Linked DNA regions of Sus scrofa. The protein of the gene in region 1 interacts with the protein of each later gene in a pairwise test. Links are inferred from orthologs where the notes say so. Each region holds a gene or a part of one and is shown on either strand. Other genes may lie near its edges. The genes, in order: CHAF1A, MBD1 and REL.

Region 1 (8,482 bases):
CGAACAGCGTGGGGCCCGAAGTTCACCCCCTGCCTCGGCCTCTGCTCACCTGGCTCGCCTTGTAGAACTGCTTCTTCAGCCCGGCTACCGACATGCTGCCTCCTGACGTCGGGCCTCCAGCCCGGACCCAGCGAACCGGAGGGATCGCGCAAGCGACAGGCTCCCGGGCGCCGCCAACCCCCCGCGCGCCTCAGCGGGCCCCTACGGCACCGCCTCCGCCGTCCCCTCGCCAGCTCCGCGCCCGCCCCGGCACCGCCTCAGCCCTTTGCGCGCTCGCGCGGCCAGGATATTACATGGCAACCGCACACTTCCGGTGCCGGCCTCCGCGCGCGCGCCCGCGCTGCCCCGGCCCCATATGCGCACGCGCGCCCCCTGCCGGCCGGGTGGCGCAAGCGCGCTCCTACTACCGCAGAGGCCTCCTCGGTCAGTGAGTGGGCCCAGGCAAGCCTACAGGAGGAGCCTTAGCGACTGCAGCGTCCCCTGGACTCCCGGAGGTGGGCCTGACTTCTTAAGAAAGGCGGTTAGACCTTTCTGCAGAGAGGGAGGTCAAGGGACAAGTAGAACTCCAGAAGCTAAGTTTACAGAACTTTGGATGCCTGTTCACTAATCTCAGCTATAGCCAGTTCTTCTGTGCGTCTAGTACCTTCCACCATCATCGCGTCCTGCCCAGTGTTCATCTATTCAGTTGCCCAAGTCAGACATCAGGGTATCTCTTGTACCTCCTTTCCACTATCCCACCCCCAACTCTCTTCTCTGCCCTGATCAGACCATTCCACCAGCCTCCTCTCTGATGTGCCCACCTTCAGGTTCTTGCCTCCAATTCATTGCCTACAAGGCAACCAGAAAGATGCTTCTATGACACAATTCAGATCACATCAGCCCTCTGTTTAAAGTCCACCTACTGGCCTTAGAATACACTACCAATTTCCTAGGATGGCCTACAAAGCTTGCATAATTTGGCCCCCATCATCTTTTCTGGGTTTTTGTTTTTGTTTTGTTTTGTTTTTTAGGGCCACGCCTGTGGCATATGGAGGTTCCCAGGCTAGGGGTCTAATCGGAGCTGTAGCTGTGGACCTATGCCACAGCCCATGGCAAAGCCGGATCCTTAACCCACCAAGCCAGGCCAGGGATTGAACCTGCAACCTCACGGTTCCTAGTCGGATTCATTTCTGCTGTGCCATGATGGGAACTCCCCCATCACCTTTTCTGATTTCAGCTGTCTTCATCTATAATCCATGTGTTTTGCTAACATTGTTCCTCTCTTGCATATTCTTCCCCAATCTTTTCCCTTTTCCTTGTGCCTAAGAGGACTCTTTGCAATGGCACCTCCTCCAGGAAGCCTTCTCAGATTGATAAATGTTTACTGATATTGACTTTTTTAACCAACTGTTATTTTATTGAATGAAGTGGAAATTAATAGTGAATTGAAGTGAATAAATGAATCCAAAAAGAAGAATAATAAAATGACCAGAGCTAAAGTGCTTGCAATTTCATTTCCAAAATCTCTGACAGAGTTGAGTGCTTTTGTAAAGCAGAGGATTGCTAGAAGTTTCCAAGTGCCTCAATGGTAGGTCCTGGGCTAGATTAGAGGATTGCTTCGCAATAGGCAGGCTCCAACCTCTTTCCCCAAGATCCTGATGAGGCTATTATTAATAGTTTGAAATTTTTTCCATGTGATTCTGATGGGCATCCTGAAGGGTGATGCACTAGTCTCAATCATTTCAGATGTCAGAATGTTAGAGAAGGAAGGGAAAACATCCTAATGGTTCAGAGGGAGAAACTGAGGTCTTGAGTAAGACACGACTTACTTGCCTAAAGCGATGTCCTCGAATTTCCTATTTTTCCACATGATTTACAACAATCATACTGATTTAATTATCCAATTTACAGGATAAATAGAATTCCAAAATTGGGCTAAATTTTACTATTCTCACTTCTGCTCTGCTTGAGCGATAAATAGATGCTGAAGAAAACCTGTTCTAAGGCTCACAGACTGATTCTGAAGGTCTCTGTTCTGTGAGAGGCTTTTAATTTATCCGGTCACAGTTTAATCAAATGGTATTTAATGTATTCACTCATATATATATATTGGGTACCTACTACTGCGTAAGTCATCAATAGGTCCTGAGGATACCATGATAAATGATTTTTGCCTTCATGGAGCTAATGATAAAAACAGGAATTAATTCATTAACCAATAACACGCTAATAAATAAACACAAGGTGTAATTATTCCAAGAAAAATGACTGTGTTGTAGGAACTTCATGTTGTTGGGGTAGGGGAGAAAAGGCTTCTCTGGGGTTTTGATCTAAGATCTGAAAGTTAGGTAAAAATCAACCAGGAAAAGAGCTGAGGAAAGAGTGTTCCAGGCGAAGAAACAGCCTATGCAAAACCCTGAGGGATTAAACCAGAAACATTCATTTCATTCGTTCCCTCTGAATATATTCACTGCATCTCAAATGCTTCTGAAGCGATGCCTAGAGTTTATTTATTCTATTTTTATTATTCGTATTAAAAGAGTTCATAATTTTAATTTCTGTTGCTATGTGTGCAGCCTATATCCAATTACGACTTAAAAAAACTTCAGTCTTCAGCTAAATCGCAGTTTCAGGCTGTCTCTGGTGCCCTGTGTAAAGCGTTTTGTCACGACGTAGGAACCTGGCCCTTCCTCCTCCCACTCCCCACCCACATACCCCAGCAATCAACCAATAACAGTGTCGATTCTCAGATTGATATCACCCTCCCCCAATCACAGGGCACATGTTCACCGCCAATGACAGGCTGCCGAGGGGGACACCCCGCCCTCAGCGGGAATATCAATAGGGGAGCCCTGGGAGTAATGGAAGCCTCGGCTCTCGCGAGGATTCTCCCGGAGCACCCCTCTTCCCGAGGAAGCGCGTCACGTGATGCGGCCTCACCCAATCGGCGCATCGGCCGCGGGGGTCGCCGCGGTTCCCGCCAAATACGAGCGCGGCGGCCGCGGTAGCAGCGGCGCGGGCGGGAGGGCGAGCAGCAGCGGCCGCCTCAGCGGAGCCCGCGCCTCCTCCGCCTGAGGGGAGTTCGAGACGCTGCCGGGACAATGCTGGAGGAGCCGGAGTGCGGGGCGCCAGGCGCCCGGGGAGCCGCTGCAGGTCGGTTCCGGCACGCGCGGAGGGGAAGGGGGGGCGCGGCGTGCGGCCTGTGAGGGCCGAGGCGGCAGTTGGGGGCGGACGGGCCTCCAGTCCCGGGCCCTCTCCTCGGCTCCTCGCGTTCGGTCCGTGGAGCTTACAGTCCCAAGGAAGGGCCTTGGGACTCAAAGGGCGCTCTTCTTGACGTTATTGTAGCCGCGACCATTTTCTCCCGGCGCTTTTGCCGTCAGTTCGCCCTTCCAGGGCGCTCTGCGGTGACGGGTGTGTGTGGCCAGGAGGGGAAACGGAGGCCCAGAGAGGCGAAAAAGCCGGCTTTGGAAGTTACCGAGTGCGTTTGTGTCCCTTGATAAGTTGGACGCTGCAGCGGCCCCAAAACTGGGTGGAGAAACGGAGGTCCAGGGTCACAAGGGCTCGGGGACCAGAACAGTTGCGTCTGCGGGTCAGGGCAAGCCCAGGTAAGAGGCCCGGATGATAAGGGTCCCGGGTTCTTGATGCTGCCGACCTGTCTTTCTCCTTACTCTGTCTTGGGAGGGGGCTTTCTGGCAGGCCCTCAAGATGGGGGGTGGTGAACCACGGAAGACCAGACGACTTGACTCCTTTTACCCCCAGCACTTGGCAAAATGCTTGGCATGTAGTAGCTGCTCAATAAATGTGGGTTGTTTGAATGAAGGGTTGGCAGGGACCTCAACTAGACTAGTCCAGGGTTTCTCAATCTCAGCACTATTGACATTTGGGGCCGTCCTGTGCATTGTAGGGTGTCTAGCAGCATCCCTGGTCTCCACCCATTAGATCTCAGTAGCAACACTTCCTTCCTAGTTGTGACAATAATGTATCCTAGGCACTGTCAAGGGGCCCCCTAATTGAGAACCACTGTGCTAATTGTTTCCAGACTTTGGGATTTTAAATAGACATAGAATTTATGAAATAAAGTTGGGACCGATTGTCATGGACAGTCATTTGACCGAGTAAGGGTCAATTAAATGGTTAATTAGAAAATTTTAAAAGCACCATCTGTTATGATCATAATACCATAAAAGAGAAAGATGTCTTAATGCTAAATAAAACTAGAAAGAAAATAATTTCAATAAAGAGCAGTGGTAAGTTTATATACACAAATGTGTTAATTGTTATGTATATGTTTGAACAAGCCGCGTCCCTAGATGAGATCCATTTTACATCGACCTGAGGTTGCTTCTGGGCCCAGGTCACTTTTGCTGCACTTGCATTAAAGCTGGTGACTCAGGGACATGCCAATAAATCCTGCAGTTAAACTAAAAATAAATTTAAATTTAAGTGGCTAAGTTAATGTATCCTTTAGCTAGCAGTGGGAAGGTTTTGTTTGTTTGTTTGTTTTTGGTAACTGAAAACTTGAGAATGATATCTTGAAATGGGTGGAGAGGATATGTGAGTCTTCTGGGTACCTTTCTTATATTCCAAGCTTGGAAAGGGGATAGGGCAGCTTCATCTAACGGACAGTTGAGTTTTTAGAAAGCCCCAATCTGCTTTTTAAAAGTACTCATATACATATATATATATATATATATATATATATATATATATATATACACACATACACACACACACACACACACACACATACACACACACTACACATATATATTTTAACTTATATTGGCCAGAATAACTAAATTAGACTTTTCTAAGCCAAATCTAGCAGTTGTCAGCTTCTAAATTTATTCTAGCCATTTCAAGATACCTATCCAAAGATTTGTCTCTATTATGTGCATTTCCCCATCAGCTTTGATATTGTTAGATACTTTTTTTCCGAAGTGTGTGTGTGCAGGAAAACATTCCCCTTGTCATTTCCTTTTTTTTTCCTTCTCTTTACGGCCGCACCTGCCACACATGGAAGTTCCTGGGCCAGGGGTTGAATTGGCGATGCGGCTGGGACCTACACCATGAGCACGGAAACATGGATCCAAGCCGCATCTGGCTCTGTAACCCCCTGAGCGAGACCCAGGGATCAAACTTGCATCCTCACAGAGACAACATGGGTCCTTAACCCACACCTGTGGCATAGAGAAGTTCCCAGCTGCTGGCCTACACCACAGCCACAGCAATGCAGGATCTGAGCCATGTCTGCAACACGACCTACACCACAGCTCACGGCAACGTTTGTTCCTTAACCCACTGAGTGAGGCCAGGGATCCTACTGCATCCTCATGAATACTAATTGTGTTTGTTACCTCTAAGCCACAACGGGAACTCCTCCTTGTCATTTCTTGACAGTACTTTAGCTCCAGTCTGGCAAGCTCTGGAAATGCTTTAGTTATATTACCTTTATAACTGTTTTATTTTTATTTTTTATTTTTTTTTTTTTTTTTGTCTTTTTGCTATTTCTTTGGGCCGCTTCCGCGGCATATGGAGGTTCCCAGGCTAGGGGTCGAATCGGAGGTGTAGCCACCGGCCTACGCCAGAGCCACAGCAACGCAGGATCCGAGCCGCGTCTGCGACCTACACCACAGCTCACGGCAACGCCGGATCGTTAACCCACTGAGCAAGGGCAGGGACCGAACCCGCGACCTCATGGTTCCTAGTCGGATTTGTTAACCACTGCGCCATGACGGGAACTCCATAACTCTGTTTTAAAAGAAAATAAACCTTATTCTAATTGTACAGATTTGTTTGTGGGGATTAGAGGGGGATGTTTTGATTTGGGGTCATATTAATGGTAAAATCCATGATACAGTGTTTTCTCTCATCTCTACTTTTATTCAGTCCTCTTTTCATTGTCCTTTTTATTGTGTTTGTTGATTTCTCACTGTGTGCCAAACCCAAGCCCGTGCTACAGATACAGTTTGGAACCAGTCTCTCTGCTGTCACAGAACTGGCTTCTGTCGCAGGAAGACATAAACACAGAAGTCTCAGAGTGATAATTGCTCAAGGAAGATAAAACAAGAAGATGTCACATTGTCCAAGGCAGAATTTCTCAATCTCTTAACATTTGGGGCCAGATAATTCTCTGTCGTGGGGGACTATCCTGTGTATTGCAGAATATTTAGCAGTATCCCTATCTCCTACCCACTAGATGCCAGTAGCACCATCTCTCCAGTCATCACAACCAAAAATGTCCTTAGACATGGCCAAATGTTCCTGGGAGTGGGGAGAACAAAATCAACCCCCTGAACAACCACTTTCTACATAGCAGGTACTATATATGTATTTGCTACTTTATTATTTCCAATATCTAATAAATTACTCTTTGCCACTTATTTCACAGCCATGGATTGCAAAGACAGACCAGCTTTTCCAGTCAAGAAGTTAATACAAGGTAACTTTCTGGGGATGGGTTAAATATTTGGTCCTAGTTTATATCCTTCATTGTCTTCTCCATTGCATTTTTAATTCCCCTTGAGCAGAGGCCTTCTCTTGGGGTTCTCAGCAGAAGTATCAATGGGCTGGAAGGAAGAAAACAGTTGCATCTTACAGTTGGAAGCTAGGAAACCCATTTCATTACACCTCTGTTCCCTGGAGCAAATCCTTTATAATTGGGTTTCTCAAAGTAAGCACTATTGACGTCTTGTAATTTTTTTGTCATGAGGAGGCTATTTTGTATACTGTAGAGAGTTTAGCAGCATTCCTGGCCTCTTCTTTCAACTGTCAACCAGTAATGGCTCCAGACATTGCCAGATGTCCCCTGGCAGGCATAGCTACCCATGGTTGAACCATTTTTTATGAAAAGTGTCCCTAATCCCTTTTGTGTGGGGGGGTGGAGAATGGGTTTATACTTAGGCCAAATTAGTGGTTAGATTGTATTTTTAAAAGGAAGGTTTCTGGGTTTTTTTGTTTTTTTTTTTTTGTCTTTTTGCCATTTCTTGGGCCGTTCCCACGGCATATGGAGGTTCCCAGGCTAGGGGTCTAATCGGAGCTGTATTCTCCGGCCTACGCCAGAGCCACAGCAACGCGGGATCCGAGCTGCATCTGCAACCTACACCACAGCTCCCGGCAACGCCGGATCGTTAACCCACTGAGCAAGGGCAGGGACCGAACCCGCAACCTCATGGTTCCTAGTCGGATTCGTTAACCACTGTGCCACGACGGGAACTCCGGTTTCTGGTTTTTTTAAAGCTTGATTATTTGGTTCCCCTGTAGCAGTTTGCCTTATCCTGTGACAACTGAGTTTAATATTGCCGAAAATCATATTAAGGACTGCCATCTTCTGGGGTTAAAGGATTAGGGGCAAACTACAGAATTTTGAGAGTAAGATTATTTTATAAATAGCTCCAGGACAAGTTTATTTGTTTAGTCTATTACATTAGAAAACAGTTAATGAGATGTTTTGGCATTTGAGTAAATGTGGGCTTCTTGGGAAGTCACCCATTTCAGTTTCCTTATCTCCTGAGCTGTTGCCATGTATCTCTTAGAACCAGCCAGAAGGCTGGCATGCAATAGGAGGATACTTGTTTCATTGAGAAGAGAAGCTAATAGCCTGGGATGCTAGAGGCGGAGAGAAATCTTTCCATAAACAGATCAATCTCTTTTGCTTTTCAGAATCAGAGGCACTATCTTCAAATGGGTTTTCCACCCATATTATATAATTTTGGAATTTAAACTGGATCTTGAACAGATCCGGAAATTTCTCTTTCAAAATTCTGGCAGTGTCCTTGCTATGAAAACTTGTCAGTTTGGGGGCCTTTTAAAAAATTAAGATGTTGGGGGAAAAAATTAGGATGTTGGAAATACATGTAATGAAAATATACCCCCTTTTGGAGTTCCCTTCGTGGCTCAGAGGTTAATGAGCCCAACTAGGATCAATGAGGATGTGGGGTCAATCCCTGGCTTCACTCATTAGGTTAAGGATCTGGCGTTGCCATGAGCTGTGGTGTGGGTCGCAGATGTGGCTTGGATCTAGCGTTACTGTGGCTGTGGTATAGGCTGGCAGCTGTAGGTCTGATTTGACGCCTAGCCTGGGAACTTCCATATGCCGAGGGAGTAGCCCTAAAAAGTAAAAAATAGAAAAAAAGATAACCCTTTTTTAACCTTTAGAAATTCCCCCTGTCCCAAGCACACCAAAGTCGATCATTTTTTGAGAATGTGGAATATTAAAGTATTGACTGTCATTCTTCACACTCTCACTAAAAAGATGGTCTCCTTCTCTTTTGGTTTCAGCCCGTCTGCCTTTCAAGCGCCTGAATCTTGTCCCAAAGGAGAAAACCGACTTCGGGTTGGACAATACCGGAGGTTCTCAGAGTGCTCCTGTGCAGAGTCAAGTCCCCGATTTAGAAACCTCTTTGGAACACTTGGAGAACAACTGTCACATGGGTTCCGACATAGATTTTAGCCCAAAACTTGTCAATGGGAAGGGTCCCTTAGATAGCTTTTTAAGAAGTCA
Region 2 (7,806 bases), on another chromosome or scaffold:
AAGGGAGGGATATGGTCTTGCTGAGGAGGGGTGGCAGAGGCAGAAGGAGGAGGAGGAGGAGGTGAGGAGGAGAGGCAAGCGCATTTGGTATAACCTTACAGAAATACATCATAATTTCTATTTGACTTTTTTTGCTTTTTGATTTCTCCAAAAATGTTTCTACACAGTACCAATCTTTCTTCTACCGTTTGCTTTAGTTTCAGTGTATATCATAGAAGGGTCCATGTTGTAAAAGAAATCAAATCCTTCTGCTAGATTGTCTCATGTCAGTTTTTTCTGGCACTATTTTTCCTTCATCTTCTTCCTCATCATCTGGTACTGGTTCAGCAGCATTTATCTCCATCAAATCATCTAGTGTTAGTTCCTCTGGTGTGGTGTCTCTTAGCTCTTGAATCCAAGATCCATTTCTTGAAACCCTTCATCCCCTCCCTTCTTTTTGCTGAATCTGTAATCTCTTTCATGATTTCCTTGATTGACTTGGTCATAAATCCCATGAAGTCATGCACAACATCTGGACATAGTTTTCTCCAGCAGGAATTTACTGTTTGGGGCTTGATAACGTTCATGATGTTCCCTTTATCAGAATTCTTTTCCATAGTGTTGACAATTCTTTTCATTGAGTACCATGTGTAAAGAGCCTTAAAGTTCCTTGTGACCACCCAATCTAGAGGCTGAATGTTTGAGGGCATATAGACTACTTCATTGCCTTTGGTATTGAACTCATGGTACTCTGGATGTCCAAGGACATTGTCCAAAAGAACTTTAAAAGCTGACTTTTAAAGTTCTTCTTGACTTCAGGGATATAGCATTGATGGAACCAATCCAGAGAAAGGGTTCTCACTGTCCAGGCCTTCTTGTACAATGAAAGACTGGCAGCTGGTGTTTATCTATTCCCTCTAAGGCTCAAGGGTTATCAGTTTTATAGATAAGGACAGTCCTGATCATGAACTTGACTGCATTTGCACAAAACAGTAGAGTTAGCCTATCTCTTCCTGCTTCAAATCCTGTTGCTCACTTCTCTTCCTTACAAATATCCAGGTATCCTTTGCAGTATTTCCCCCCCCCCCCGAATGTGGCACTTTTGTTTGCATTAAAAACCTATTCAGGCAAATATCCTTTCTCCTCAATGATTTTCTTAATGGCATCTGGGAACTTGTCTGCTGCCTCTTGGTTAACAGAGGCACTTTTTCTTTATCTTGATATTTTCTAAGCCAAACCTCTTTGTAAAATTATCAAACCATCCTTTGCTGGTATTAAATTCTTCAGCTTTAGAGCCTTCACCTTCCTGTGGCTTTAAGTTGTCATGTAACGACTTTGTCTGGAATCCTGTTGAAATGTATAGGTATAGCTTTCTTATAGCAATCCTGCACCCACATTAAAGTTGCATTTTCAGTACAAGATTAAAAGGTATATTGCAAAAAGTGCGTTTTCACGCCTGCTGGCGTAGCTGCAGTGACAGCTTCATGAATTTCCTTTTTTTTTTTTACAATAGTCCTTACGCTGGATTCATTAATCTTGAATTGGCGGGCAACCACAGCTGCAGACCTCAATCTACGGTACATATCAAGCAATTCAACTTTTTCTTGTAATGTCATGACTTTTCTTTCCTTCTTGGGAGCATTTTTAGCATCCATAGCCACACTTTGTGTGGTTCCCATAGTGTTATTCAAGGCTTACAGTATTGCAATAAAGATGATGAAAATGACGCAAGGACTGCAAGGGGTCACTTTCTACTGTGATGCGCAATTTACTGGAGAAACAAACTGCTTACTTGGAGATGATTTGCCTTCTGTGGCATTTTAAGCAGATTCTCGCAACACTTGAACTCACTTCAATAGCAACAGGAGGTAGCTATGGGATGATTACAGTGGTACGACATGTACTACAGTTAATTTTATGCAGTTATGATGTAATACTGCATTTTTATGTTTGTTTACATTTCTCTTGACTGTGAATGGTGCCATGTAGTCTTTAAGTATTTGTGTCCATACGTTTTGAAAAATTTTAACTTTTTATGATAGATTTAGGTATATTTTATGGTAGTAAATGATAAAATAGACTTTTATGCATTTATGACATACCTAACTTTATCTTAATTTTTTCAATATGTCTAGGCTACATGGTTCATCACAAATCTCCAAAAATAATTTTCCAATATAGTTACTGAAAAAAATCCATGCATAAGTGGACCCGTGTAATTCAAACCTGTGTTGTTCAAGGGCCAGCTGTTTAAAACATTTGTTTGTTTCTTTCATAAGCTTTCTTTGTTTACGTATTTAGTATGTAATGCTAACACAGTTACATATTATTTAATATATTTGTGTTCCTGTTTGTGTTTATTTTCACTTACATGGAATACCACTAGTAGCACATGTTATAAATAGGTGCATATCTGCACCTATATGTTTATGTTATTCATTAATGTTTGTACACATGTTGATATTTATACACCTTTTTTATTCCTACTGTTTAGGGTTATTTGGGGTAGGGCCTGGATGGGGCTCGTAGGCTCATCTCAGTCTGCCTCCTGTATTCCACCAGCTCTGCAGACCTATTCACCAGCCCAGTGGGAGGGTTGAGAGGGTGGAGTGGCAGTGGCTCCACCTGGGTACCAACCCATCCTGGCTACCCTCAGCCCCACAGGAGACAGGATCCGAAGCAAAGTTGAGCTCACCCGATACCTGGGCCCTGCGTGTGACCTCTCCCTCTTTGACTTCAAACAAGGCATCTTGTGCTATCCAGCCCCTAAGGTACAAGACACTGTGCGGTACCCAGGCTGGGGTGGCTGAGCTACCTAATACCCACCCACTGACATGTGTTCTTCCTGCCCTTGCTCTTATCTCCAGGCCCATTCCTTGGCTGTCCCCAGCAGGAAGCGGAAGAAGCCTTCAAAGCCAGCCAAGGCTCGGAAACGTCAGGTTGGCCCCCAAAAGAGTGAGGTCAGGAAGGAGACCCCAAGGGATGAGACCAAGGCTGACGCTAACCCAGCCCCAGCTTCACTTCCTGCACCTGGGTGAGTGTTGGTCTAGTGAGCCAAATCCATGAGGGTTGTGTTTGGGGGTACATTCAGGGCCCCACACCCATGTCTTCCATCCCAGGTGCTGTGAGAACTGTGGAATCAGCTTCTCAGGGGATGGTACCCGAAGGCAGAGGCTCAAGACTTTGTGCAAGGACTGCCGAGGTGAGTGGCCCCTGGGGCACTGGGAGGTAGAGCTGGAGCAGGCCTGGAGCTCTAAGGCTAGGAAACGGGTGTCTGGCTAGAGGTTGAATGGTAGATGTTAGGGCAGAGGCAGTGGTGAGGTCAGATATCTGATGCTCCCTTTACATTTCTCTTCTACTCTCTCCCTCCCTGAAGCACAGAGAATTGCTTTCAACCGGGAGCAGAGGATGTTTAAGGTAAGCACGACCTGCCTCCTCCTCACAGGTGTGCGGTGGGAGCAGGATGTGATGGGGGCTGGTGAGGGTCTGAAGGAGCAGTGATGAATCCGCAGGGTGTCAGGGTCATTTTGTGGGTAGCAAGCTGAAGTCAGCCGACTAAAGGGAGTGAATGGGCTGTCAGTGGATACAGGGAAATAGTAGACATTGTTACAGCCTCAGTGACGGTGGCTAATCAGTAATTTTCAGACAGTGAGGAGGCAAATGATTAGCAGACATGGTGATGGGGGCTAATATGGAGTCAGCAGACACGTGAGAGGCAGTGCTCCCAGAGCCAGTCTGCGTGGACCTGTGACCTTGCCCCACCCATTCCCGGCAGCGTGTGGGCTGTGGGGAGTGCACAGCCTGCCAGGTAACAGAAGACTGTGGGGCCTGCTCCACCTGCCTTCTGCAGTTGCCCCATGACGTGGCATCGGGGCTGTTCTGCAAGTGTGAGCAAAGACGGTGCCTCCGGATTGTGGAAAGGGTGAGTTGGGCAGGTGGGGTGGGCCCAAGGCTCACATGAGCTCCTGGTCCTCATAATCCTGGCCCCATGCATCATATCTCTGGCTCCCCCTACAGAGCCGAGGATGTGGAGTATGCCGGGGCTGTCAGACCCGAGAGGACTGTGGGCGTTGTCGAGTCTGCCTTCGCCCTCCCCGCCCTGGTCTCAGGCGCCAGTGGAAGTGCGTCCAGCGGCGTTGCTTACGGGTGAGTCAGGCTGGAGGGGCCAGTGTTGGTGGGCTGGGGCAGAGCTCATTCTGCTGTTAAAGCTGCTGCCGCTGCTACTTTCTTCCAACTTGGACTTGCCAACCTCATGTCTTCTTTTTTCTCCCACCTGTGCTCACCTCTCTGGCCCCACCTACCTGCCCCTGTCTGCCAGCACCTTGCCCATCGCCTCCGTCGCCACCATCAGCGATGTCAACGACGCCCTTCCCTAGCTGTGGCTCCCCCTGCTGTGAGTGCCCCCCCACCACACACACTCTGCCTGCCTGTCCCACACGCATGCTTTTTCTGCACATCTTGGGGAAGGAAGGTAGTCCTGTGTCTGCCTGGTGCCGCCAAGCCTAAACTATCCTTTCTGTTTTCTCTTAGGGTAAACATGGCCGCCGCAGGGGAGGCTGTGACTCCAAGGTAGCTCCACGGCGGCGGTCCCGAGCACAGCCACTGCCTCCGCTTCTCCCGTCACAGCCTCCAGAGTCTCCAGAGCTGGTGAGGCCCTAGTAGGCAGGGGGAAGGCACAACTGTAACCCGACCCAGTACCTGCCCTGACCCCACCCCATTTGCCTCTGCAGCACCCCAGAACCCTGGCCCCCTTGCCACGTGCCGAATTCATCTATTACTGTGTAGACGAGGACGAGCTAGTGAGTGGCTTCACCCTACTTGGACAACCCTAGACTCCAGGGCATTTGGTTAACGCCAAAGACACAGATGTTGCAATGGGCCTAATAAGGGAATAGTAAGGCACAGTGATGGATACCAGTATGGGAGGAGCAGACAATGGGGGAGGAACAGCAGGTGTAGTGATAGTACCTAATGTCAGGTGAACCAATACTCTGGCAGGGCTAATAAAGGAAAAGCTGGTACAGTGACTCAAGTTCATGTAGAATGAGCACACATTGCAGGCACAATGATGTGAGCTAACAGAATGTCAGCAAAATCCTGCCGGAAGCAGGCATCAGGGATATTGTCTTGGTGACTAGTAGGGGACTAGCAGGTAGAATGATGGATACTGTACTGGAGCAGCCACAGTCCTCATGGTACTGAGGGCCATCTGGTGCAGTGATGGTGCCCACTATTGGACTAGTGGGGAGTCAGGCTAAGACTAATGTGCCACCAGTTCCCTCCAGTGGGGCTAGTGGAGGAGTGACAGGAGGAACATTGTAATTGTCCTAGTGGCAGCACCCACCATCTCCCTGTTCCCCAGCAGCCTTATACGAACCGCCGGCAGAATCGCAAGTGTGGGGCCTGTACAGCCTGCCTGCGGCGGATGGACTGTGGCCACTGTGACTTCTGCTGTGACAAGCCCAAATTTGGGGGCAGCAACCAGAAGCGCCAGAAATGTCGTTGGCGCCAATGCCTGCAGTTTGCTATGGTGGGTACAGCAGGAAGGGTCATGTGGGTGGGATGAATACAGCCAGGTCTTCCAGTGCCTGGGAGGGGTGGGCAGGACTGGTAGGGGGATGGGAACAGGCCAGATGGGAACTGCAGTTTTAGAGCAGTGAATGGGGCAATGGGTTTGGCTAAGATTTGCAGACATTAGGCTGGGGTAAATGAAGAATCTGGGGGACAATGGCCTTATTAACAGGCTCGATGATGAGGGCCTCATATATAAGCAGATTCTGTGCTGGGACTAATGGGGGGATTTGCCGGCATATTGATTGGGGCAGGGTAGTGTGATTGGTCATTGTACCAGATAGCCATAACACCCCATCTCTCTTCACAGAAGCGGCTGCTGCCAAGTGTCTGGGCAGGGTCTGAGGATGGGTCAGAGCCGCCCCCACCTTACCCTCGTCGAAAAAGGCCTTGCTCTACTCGAAGGCCTCGTCTGGGTCAGACCCTGAAGCCTCCCTTGGCCACACCTACAGCCCGACGAGACCATACCCAGACTTCAATGAAGCAGGAAACGGGCGGTGGCTTTGTGCTGCCCCCACCTGGCACTGACCTTGTGTTCTTACGGGAGGGTGCAAGCAGTCCTGTGCAGGTGCCTGGCCCAGCTCCAGCTTCCACAGAAGCTTTGTTGCAGGTGAGGATCCCATGATATCCTGCCTTTCTCAACCCCACCCAGCCTCGTGCCAGGAAGCTGGGACCAAGTCTGCTGCAATCCTCCTTCACACAGGAGGCCCAGTGCCCTGGCCTGAGTTGGGTTGTGGCCTTACCCCAGGTGAAGCAAGAGAAGGCGGATGCCCAGGAAGACTGGACACCGGGCACAGCCATCCTGACTTCTCCTGTATTGCTGCCGGGCTGCCCCAGCAAGGTGGGGGCCAGTGATGGGTGGTCTGTGAGCAGAATGATGGGGAGCCATGATGGTGGTTCTTTGAGCAAAGTAACAGGCATGCTGATTACAGCCTCTCACAGAATTATCCCGCCTGTCTGATAGATGCCGCACCCTCCTCAGGCAACTAGTTTTGCCTGCTTTGCTGCCCAGCTTACAGAAAATGGAAGTCTAAGAGGAGTGGGAAAGGTTTGTAGGCAGAGAGATGGTTTTTCTGTGCTCAGGTGTGACAAAAGTGGGATTGTCAGCACAGTGACAGGTTGGCTGATAGGAACACTTTCTTCAGGCCAGCTCTGTTCTTCTGACAGCTGTCCATTTCCCACCTCTCCCAGACAGTAGATCCAGGCCTTCCAGCTGTGAAGCAAGAGCCACCTGACCCTGAGGAGGACAAGGAGGAGAACAAGGATGACTCTGCCTCTGACTTGGCCCCAGAGGAGGAGGCAGGAGGGGCTGGCACGCCCGTGGTCAGTGCTGGGGGACACCTCACCCTGCCCTGACTCTGCTTTAGCCCAGCGGCTGTGTTGACCCTGATGTTAATTCTTCCCTAGATCACGGAGATTTTCAGCCTGGGTGGAACCCGCCTCCGGGACACAGCAGTCTGGTTGCCAAGGTGTGCCCCGCACAGTGAGGGGTGGGGTGGGGCGGGTGCTGGTCAGGTGCGGGCCCTGAGTTTTGAAAGTAATAGCCAGCGTTTTGGCATGGTGTAGTGTGAGTTAAAGGCCCCACGCCACTGCTTTGATCACATTTAGTGAAGGGGTATGTACAGGACGCTAGAAATTTCTCCTGAGGTCTAGATCAGGGCTCTCTTTGAGAAGGGTTATGGGAAGTGACTGGGGGGAGAGGACTTGGTACCCTGTGAGGAGATTTTAAAGAGAAAGGAAGATAAGGAAAGCCTATCCCCTATCTAAGAAAATCCACAGGGATTAAACTTAATATATAATTTCTTACAAAGAATCATTATTTGGGGTGTTGAAGGCCTGTGGAGCCTCCAACAGATGAATGAGTGGGCTGAGCAGTGGTGGGAAGGTAGGAGATCTGGGTTCTAAGATGGCTTTGTGACCTGGATCCACACAACTCTATGATCTGGGACTAGTCCTGCCTCTCCTAGAGTATTCTCTGTGGAGGGGGTTTGGCTGTGTTTCTTGAGCCTTTCTGAAACTGTTCCAATTGCTGCACAGAACTATCCCTACAGGCATGGCAGTAGAAGGAAGGATAGGTGCCTTTAAGTACTGGGACAGTGGGAGGAGAACAAGGGAATACTGCCTCCTGCAGAACACAGACAGCCTTGCACAGAGCCTCAGACCCAGGCACATAAACTGTTGGCCTAAGCACCTGGACTCCATTTTTCTTGCAAACTAGTATCTGCAGGCCGGGCTCCTCCACCTGCACTTGGGCAA
Region 3 (7,806 bases), on another chromosome or scaffold:
GCCAGGGATAGGACCTGAGTCCTCGTGGATACTAGTCAGATTTGTTTCTGCAGAGCCGTGACAGACACTCCTAGATTTCTTTTAAATAGCAATTTATCTAACTGTCGTTATATTATATTCTGTTATAAAGAATGTTTTTAGGGAGTTCTCTGGTGGCTCAGCAGGTTAAGGATCCAGTGTTATCACTGCTGTGGCCTGGGTCACTGCTGTGGCAAGGGTTAGATCCCTGGCCTGGCAACTTCCACACATTTAAAAAAAAAAAGAAAAAGTTTTTTAAAAAAGTTTTCAAAACTGTAAAATTTCCCTACTATAGGTTTTTGGTTTTTTTAAATACGTAAACCTAGTTTGCCCATAAAATTTCTTAAGGAAACTATCTGCCTTACCTCACCTAGTATCCCTGTTAGTATTTAATCCCTAAAATATTGATCTAAATTTTATTTAGATTTTCCTGTATATGTCATTTTTATGCAAAATTTATGTAAAATTTTCTAATAAACTTTTAAGAGCAAAGGTTCTCAATTCAATGGCCTGAATTTGAATTCCTGCTATAGCACTTCTTAGGTATGACACTTTGGACAAGTAATTTAATTTCTTTAAAATCAGTTCCTCATCTGGAAAATAGAGTAATTTTTATGCAGATTTTGGAGATAATTTACAGAGTCCTTAACATGTGAGTTGACTAAATACATATTTGTTAAATTAATGAATGAATGCCTACTCTCTGTTGTATGTAACTGGCAACCATTTTGTAAAAATTTGATTTATGTCAATTTTAGATTCTGCACTAAATTCCAGGTGACTGGGATAGTTACTTCCTGACCATGGCTGTAACTTAATGAACTATGTTTAGTAGTGACCACATAATGAAAAAGATAAAAGGCAATTGTGTACCTTTCTGTTTTCATTAGTACAGATTCAGATGCTGCTGAGGGTTATTGCCTATATTGGGCAGGGAGAGGGGTTTAGCAGGATTTTAGTTCTGTGTGACTATTCTGTATTTTTTTTTTTAATGTACTATTCAGTTCCTGAACAACAGCTGCTTGATATTGAAGACTGTGACCTCAATGTGGTGAGATTATGTTTTCAAGTTTTCCTCCCTGATGAACATGGTAATTTGACAAGTGCTCTACCTCCTGTTGTCTCTAATCCAATTTATGATAACCGTAAGTAATTTATTTTTTTGTATATGCAGCCTTAGCTTTTTAAAAATGATTTTTAAAGTATTTTGGTAATTAGAAAAATAATGTATTCATTATAGGAGAAGTTCAAACATTACTGATGTTGATAACAAGGAGAGTAAATCTCCTATAATCTCATCCTCCAAGATGTTTTACCACTTTCTTCATCATGCATATGCAAATACCTTGTGATCATCATCATACAAGCAGTATGTTTTTGGCAACTTTTTGAAAAATCGTCATTGGTTTTTTTTACTTTTTTTTTTTTTCCTCTTAGCAACATACCTTGAACTTCTTTTCCTTTGAGGTATCTTATTCTTTTCAGTAGCTACATATTTCCTTATACGGCTGTATCATAATTTTACTAAATCATGACCCTACTACAAGACATTTGGGTTGTTTCCTTCTCACTTTCTTCTTTTTGCTTTAAAAAATTGTATTGCAATAAATATCCTATATGTGCATATCTTGTGCAAATCTCTCTAGCATCAATTTGCAGAAGTAGAAATACTGGCAAAGGCTAAATCAAAGGATATGGATATTTAAAGTTTTAAAAGATTATGAAATTGCCCTCAAATGTTTTATCTTTGTGTCTGTGTGTATCTCTTATATATGCACCCACCAATGATGTATAACTTCACCTGTTTTGCATGTTAGAAGGATAGTGTCTGGGACAGAGGGCTGTATAGGTAGATCAGAGTATCTTCATCACGGAGAGCTTTGAATACCAGGAAGTTTTTGGAAAAATATTGACCAGATTATGGGAAGCATGAGAGTTGCATTTCCATAGGGTTGTGGTCATAATTTTAAAAAATTAATCTGGTGACTGCGTATAGGATGGATAGGAAGAATCAGGATTTAGAAGCAAGCAGATTTTTTTTTTTTTTTTTTTTTTTTTTTTGGTCGCATCTATAGCATACAGAAGTTCCTGGGTCAGGGATCACACCCATGCCACAGCAGTGACAGCGTTGGCCCCTTAACACACTGGGCCATAAGAGAACTCCCGGAAGCACAGAGATTTAATTAGAGGACATGTCATTGCCTAGAAATGAAGTCATAAGGCTCTAAAGCAGTTTGGGCAATGCCCTTAGGAAAAGAAAGAAGTAGATGTGGATGATTAAGGTATTTAGTGTCCTTTATTTATACACTAATGCATTTGTCTATCCTATAAATTTTTTTCCTAAAACTGTCCATCAAAAAGGAATAAAACATACTACTAACATGGCAACCCATTTAAAAAAAAAAAACCTTTATATGTAGGTGCTCCAAATACTGCGGAATTAAGGATTTGTCGTGTAAATAAGAACTGTGGAAGTGTCAGAGGAGGAGATGAAATATTTCTACTCTGTGACAAAGTACAGAAAGGTATTTTTTTTTGTTTCTTTTTTGTTTCATTAAATTCGGAATATATTTTAGATTAATAGATCTTACCTTGTTTTCCCATTGTTATTTGCTTTTGTATTCCCTAGATGACATAGAAGTTCGGTTTGTGTTGAATGATTGGGAGGCAAAAGGTATCTTTTCACAAGCCGATGTACACCGCCAAGTAGCCATCGTTTTCAAGACTCCACCATATTGCAAAGCTATAATAGAACCAGTAACAGTAAAAATGCAGTTACGGAGACCTTCTGACCAGGAAGTTAGTGAATCTATGGATTTTAGATATCTGCCAGATGAAAAAGGTATGGCTTTTTCATGTTAAGGTTTTATATATGTCTTTTCTTTTTTTTTTGTCTTTGTCTTTTCAGGGTGGCACCCATGGCATATGGAGGTTCCCAGGCTAGGGGTCAAATTGAAGCTGTAGCTGCCAGCCTACACTACAGCCACAGCAACTCCAGATCCAAGCCACATCTGCGACCTACACCACAGCTCACAGCAGCGCCAGATCCTTAACCCACTGACTGAGGCCAGGGATCGAACCCTCATCCTCATGGATGATAGTCAGATTCATTTCCGCTGAGCACAACAGGAATTCCTGTTTTATGTATTTCTTAAAGTTAGTCCTACTAATAACATTTTCTTGTAAGATATATTTGAATACAGTTATGCTTATTCATAATTTATGGTTCTTTTCCTGAAAGTTTTTGGTTGATTTTTGACTGTTCTTTTTTGCTCTGTGAATCTCTTTCTTAGAAAAGGAACCTGGAATAATTTCAAAGTATCTAAACTGTTTATCAAAATTTATTTTATATTTGAGATTCTATTTTGGTCCTTACTGTGTCCTCTGGATAGATGGCAAACTTGTCACTCAGAAAGTGGTCTCTGGAATTCCCTGGTGGCACATTGGGTCAAGGATCCAGTGTTATCAGGTTAGATCCCTGGCCTGGGAACTTCCACATGCCACAGGTGTGGCCAAAAAAAAGTGGTCTCCATTTTGGTCCTTATCTGCCCTTACTGCCTTAATTGACACTGGTGACTCATAGGTGTTACAAGAAAATTAAATGACTATTACAGACTTTTTTTTTGGTCTTTTTAGGGCTGCACCCCCAGCATATGGAAGTTCCCAGGCTAGGAGCTGTATCCGCTGGCCTGCGCCACAGCTGCAGCGACACAGGATATCAGCCACATCTGTGACCTAGACCACAGCCCACAGCAACACCAGATCCTTAACCCACTGAGAGGGCCCAGGGACTGAACCCTCGTCCTCATAGATACTAGTCATGTTCATTACCACTGAGCCATGATGGGAACTCCTAGACTGTTTTTTTACTAAGAGAAAAAATCCTTTATTACTGACTTGGGACATACTTTGTGACACTTATAAACCCATTTTATGAACATTTATTTAACGTACTTTCTATATAGAACTAAAACATCTATATATTTATTAAAAGAGAGGAAGCATAATCCCATGATGATTCACATGCTTTCCTGGTTTCTTTCTAACCAGATACATATGGCAATAAAGCAAAGAAACAAAAAACAACTCTACTTTTCCAGAAACTGTGGCAGGATTGTGGTAAGAACATTTTGGATTGATTTGTATTTAAATAAGTTTGAGGAGGGTTTTTTTGTTTGTTTGTTTTTTGGGGTTTCTTTTTCTTTATGTAGTTTTTCATATTTTAACTGATAACTGTTATTTTTCAAACTGCATTTGTAATTTTTTTTGCTCTTTAGGGCTGCACAAGCGGCATATGGAAGTTCCCAGGCTAAGGGTCTAATTGGAGCTGTAGCCGCCATCCTACACCACAGCCACAGCAATGCCACATCTGAGCCACAGCTGTGACCCACACCATAGCTCCCAGCAATGTGGGATCCTTAACCCACTAAGCAAGGTCAAGGATCGAACCCTCATCCTCATGGATACTCATCGGGTTCGTTAACCACTGAGCCATGATGAGAACTCCCAAACTGCATTTATGATAATGGAAAAATTTTATTGCAGGAGTTAATTTTCCTGAAAGACCTAGACCTAATCCCCTAGGAACAATGGGAGAAGGAAGATTCATCAAAAAAGGTATTTATTCCCTATACAGAATTTCTTGAGATCAGTGCTTTGCACAGGATATTGGAATTTCATTCTGAAGAATGAAAACCACCTCTTTGATATAGTCTATCTACTCATGTATTTTTTTTTTCATGCTCAGAATATTGATTGAATAGATCTCAGCTTCTGAAAGTGTCCTGTTGGCAACTACAATTAAATTTGGGGGATTTATTGTTTGGGATTTTACTAATTACAGTGTGTCATGGAAGAAATGGTTTAGATCTTGCCAGGTGCCTATCTTTATTTATTTGTAAGGTTTTACTATAACACAGTCCATCTGATTGAATATCGTCTATGGATGATTTTCTTATACCAGAGCAGCAGAGTTGAGTAGTTCCACAGAGACTCTATGGCCCACCATGCCTAAAATATTTACTATCCAGCCCTTTGCACAAAAACAGGTTGCCAATTTCTGATTTAGATCATTCTGCTAGGGTTAATTAGAAATCTTTTCTTCTTTTTTATATTCTTAAATCAGTACTTTTTCTTAGTTTAATATGCACAGCAGTCATATAACATGTAAATAAATACAGACTCCATTTTTTATTTAAAGTTTTATTAAAGTATAGTTTTACAATGTTAATGATAATTCATTCATTTTTTTTCTGTCTGGGAATTTTGTAGTGCCTTAGAGTGAGTTATATCTTACTATAGCTTAGAAATTTATGTGGATTTTTCAATCACGATAATGAATGTTTCCTCCGTCCCTCAGTTGTTCTCCTAAAACTGGAGAATATGAAATGACTTTTACTCTTTGGAGACCCATTAACTGAAATTCTGATATTTATCTTTCACAGTTCAAAAATACCTTTTTTTTTTTTTTTGCTTTTTACGGCCACACTTGTGGCATATGGAGGTTTCCAGGCTAGGGGTCTCATCGGAGCTACAGCTGCCAGCCTACACCATAGCTGCAGCAACACAGGATCTGAGCCGCATCTGTGACCTACACCACAGCTCATGACAGCGCCAGATCCTTAACCCACTGAGAGAGGCCAGGGATCGAACCTGCAACCTCACGGTTCCTAGTCAGATTCGTTTCCAATGCGCCACGACAGGAACTCCCAAAATACCTTTATAGGACCTTGGAAATTATATTTTCACAATTAACTGGAATGAAATTTTCTATGCCAAAATAACCAAAATCATTTTATAGGTATTTGTGAAACAATAAGCATTAGAGAAGTCAATTCTGGACTCCTGTAATAGTTACCATTTTTATTTGAAATGTTACATTAATTTCCTTGAAAATTTTTAGTGTGTTTATGTAATTTTAATTTAGAAATAATACTTTTAATAATTTCGTTCATTTCAGTTTTGTAAAAATACATTTCATCTCCCACAGAATCAAACTTGTTTTCTCATGGTGCAGTTTTGACAGAAACATCCAGGCCAGTTTCAAGTCAAGCAGAATCCTACTATTCCTCATCCATCTCAAGTGCATTGTCACATCCTGCTTCAACCATACCCACAATGGTACCTCAGCCTTCTTCAAGCTGGTCATCAGTGGCCCGCCCCACCTCACGCTCAGTCAATACAAATTCACTGAGTGGTTTCTCACCAGGGACCCTTTCCTCTAATTCACATGTTATCACGCCATTCCTGGAAATGCCTGTTATGAATGATCTGAATACTTCTAATGCTTGCATTTATAATAATACAAATGACATAGGCAGAATGGAAGCATCGTCTGTGTCACCAGCTGACTTATATGGTATTTCTGATGCCAGCATGCTGCCTCATTGTCCTGTGAACATGATAACGCCCAGTAACGACAGCATGAGGGAGACTGATAATCCGAGACTTGTGAGCGTGAATCTTGAAAACCCTTCCTGTAATTCAGTGTTAGACCCAAGAGACTTGAGACAGCTCCATCAGATGTCGTCTTCCAGTATGTCAACAGTCACCAGCTCCAGTACTACTGCTTTTGTTTCCCAGTCAGAGGCATTTGAGGGATCTGACTTTAATTGTGCAGATAACAGTATGATAAACGAGTCAGGACCATCAAACAGTACTAATCCAAACAGTCATGGTTTTGTTCAAAATAGTCAGTATTCAGGTATTGGCACTACGCAGAATGAACAATTGAGTGACTCATTTGCATTTGAGTTTTTTTAGGTTAACTTGTAAGATTTAAATGGTGAATTAATTAAATCTCTTGGAGTTCCCATTGTGGCTCAGTGAAAATGAACCTGACCAGTGTCCATGATGATGCAGGTTCAATCCCAGGCCTTGCTCAGTGGGTTAAGGATTTGGTATTGCCACAAGCTTCCATGTAGGTTGCAGACGTGGTTTGGATCTCACTTTGCTGGGGCATGGGCTGGCAGCTTGAGCGCCAGTTCGACCCCTAGCCTGGGAACTTCCATATGCCGTGGGTGCGGCCATAAAAATTTTAAAAATAAAAAACAAAATAAAGGAAACTTCTAAAAAAAGAATTCAATCTCTTTAAAGGTTGTCACCATTTTGATTTTATCTATGTAGATGCAAAATTTTATATTTCTCTGACTACAACTGTGACACAAGGGAGTTTTTTGGTTATGTTTTAGGGATGATAGTTCAAAAACATATTTATCAGAGGGAATAGTATCTTGAACAACACATGTTTGAACTGTGTGGTCCATTGTGCAGTACACAGATTTTTTTTTTACTGTTCAAGTACTGCAGTACTACACGATTTGAGACGGGCTGAATTCATGGATGCAGAATTGCAGAGACAGGAGGCCATCTGTAGAGTTTTAAAGTTAAACATGGATTTTCCACTGTACAGAGGCTCAGTGCCCCAACCCCTGTGTTGTTCAAGGGTCAACTGTAATTATAACTTTAGGTATGTAGAGGATGGATTGCTCTAACAGGCAGTCTTGGCTTGGGAGCTTCTTGTTTTGCTGGCAGAGAATTTGTCGAGATAAAATGAAAGATGAATTCTCAGTGCTTGAAGCTGCAGCTTAAAAAGGGAGATGAACTCATTTCCCACTTTCAGGAAGAGCTAGAAAAATTTGTCCAGCATTTACAGAAGACTTTTGCTTCAAAAGTAGATAAATCCACACAGACCGAACTCCTAGGCTGTGATGCATTGTGGAATCCTACATACAATTAAACTGGGAATTTCCTGGTGGCCTAGTGGTTAAGGACTCAGCATTGTCACTG

The links.
Region 2: the proteins of CHAF1A (region 1) and MBD1 interact in binary tests that used the Homo sapiens proteins (3 or more experiments, as listed by UniProt). The link is inferred for Sus scrofa from reciprocal best matches to the Homo sapiens genes CHAF1A and MBD1.
Region 3: the proteins of CHAF1A (region 1) and REL interact in binary tests that used the Homo sapiens proteins (3 or more experiments, as listed by UniProt). The two-hybrid records come from large-scale screens. The link is inferred for Sus scrofa from reciprocal best matches to the Homo sapiens genes CHAF1A and REL.

What each region holds. Positions count from the first base shown.
Region 1 is NC_010444.4:74,406,258-74,414,739, reverse strand, and holds the start of CHAF1A (chromatin assembly factor 1 subunit A), read left to right. Parts: upstream 1-2,864; 5' UTR 2,865-3,080; coding exon 3,081-3,132; intron 3,133-6,370; coding exon 6,371-6,421; intron 6,422-8,259; coding exon 8,260-8,482. Other genes in the region: SH3GL1 (endophilin-A2), read right to left, coding at 50-94. UniProt on the Homo sapiens protein: Acts as a component of the histone chaperone complex chromatin assembly factor 1 (CAF-1), which assembles histone octamers onto DNA during replication and repair.
Region 2 is NC_010443.5:99,905,139-99,912,944, reverse strand, and holds part of MBD1 (methyl-CpG-binding domain protein 1), read left to right. Parts: intron 1-1,492; exon of another isoform or gene 1,493-1,556; intron 1,557-2,635; coding exon 2,636-2,750; intron 2,751-2,846; coding exon 2,847-3,013; intron 3,014-3,098; coding exon 3,099-3,181; intron 3,182-3,355; coding exon 3,356-3,396; intron 3,397-3,754; coding exon 3,755-3,901; intron 3,902-3,996; coding exon 3,997-4,125; intron 4,126-4,297; coding exon 4,298-4,372; intron 4,373-4,509; coding exon 4,510-4,626; intron 4,627-4,709; coding exon 4,710-4,778; intron 4,779-5,341; coding exon 5,342-5,509; intron 5,510-5,860; coding exon 5,861-6,160; intron 6,161-6,253; coding exon 6,254-6,391; intron 6,392-6,741; coding exon 6,742-6,873; intron 6,874-6,957; coding exon 6,958-7,019; intron 7,020-7,806. UniProt on the Homo sapiens protein: Transcriptional repressor that binds CpG islands in promoters where the DNA is methylated at position 5 of cytosine within CpG dinucleotides. Binding is abolished by the presence of 7-mG that is produced by DNA damage by methylmethanesulfonate (MMS).
Region 3 is NC_010445.4:80,875,329-80,883,134, reverse strand, and holds part of REL (proto-oncogene c-Rel), read left to right. Parts: intron 1-1,022; coding exon 1,023-1,163; intron 1,164-2,438; coding exon 2,439-2,543; intron 2,544-2,647; coding exon 2,648-2,860; intron 2,861-4,068; coding exon 4,069-4,137; intron 4,138-4,563; coding exon 4,564-4,635; intron 4,636-6,007; coding exon 6,008-6,780; 3' UTR 6,781-7,806. UniProt on the Homo sapiens protein: Proto-oncogene that may play a role in differentiation and lymphopoiesis.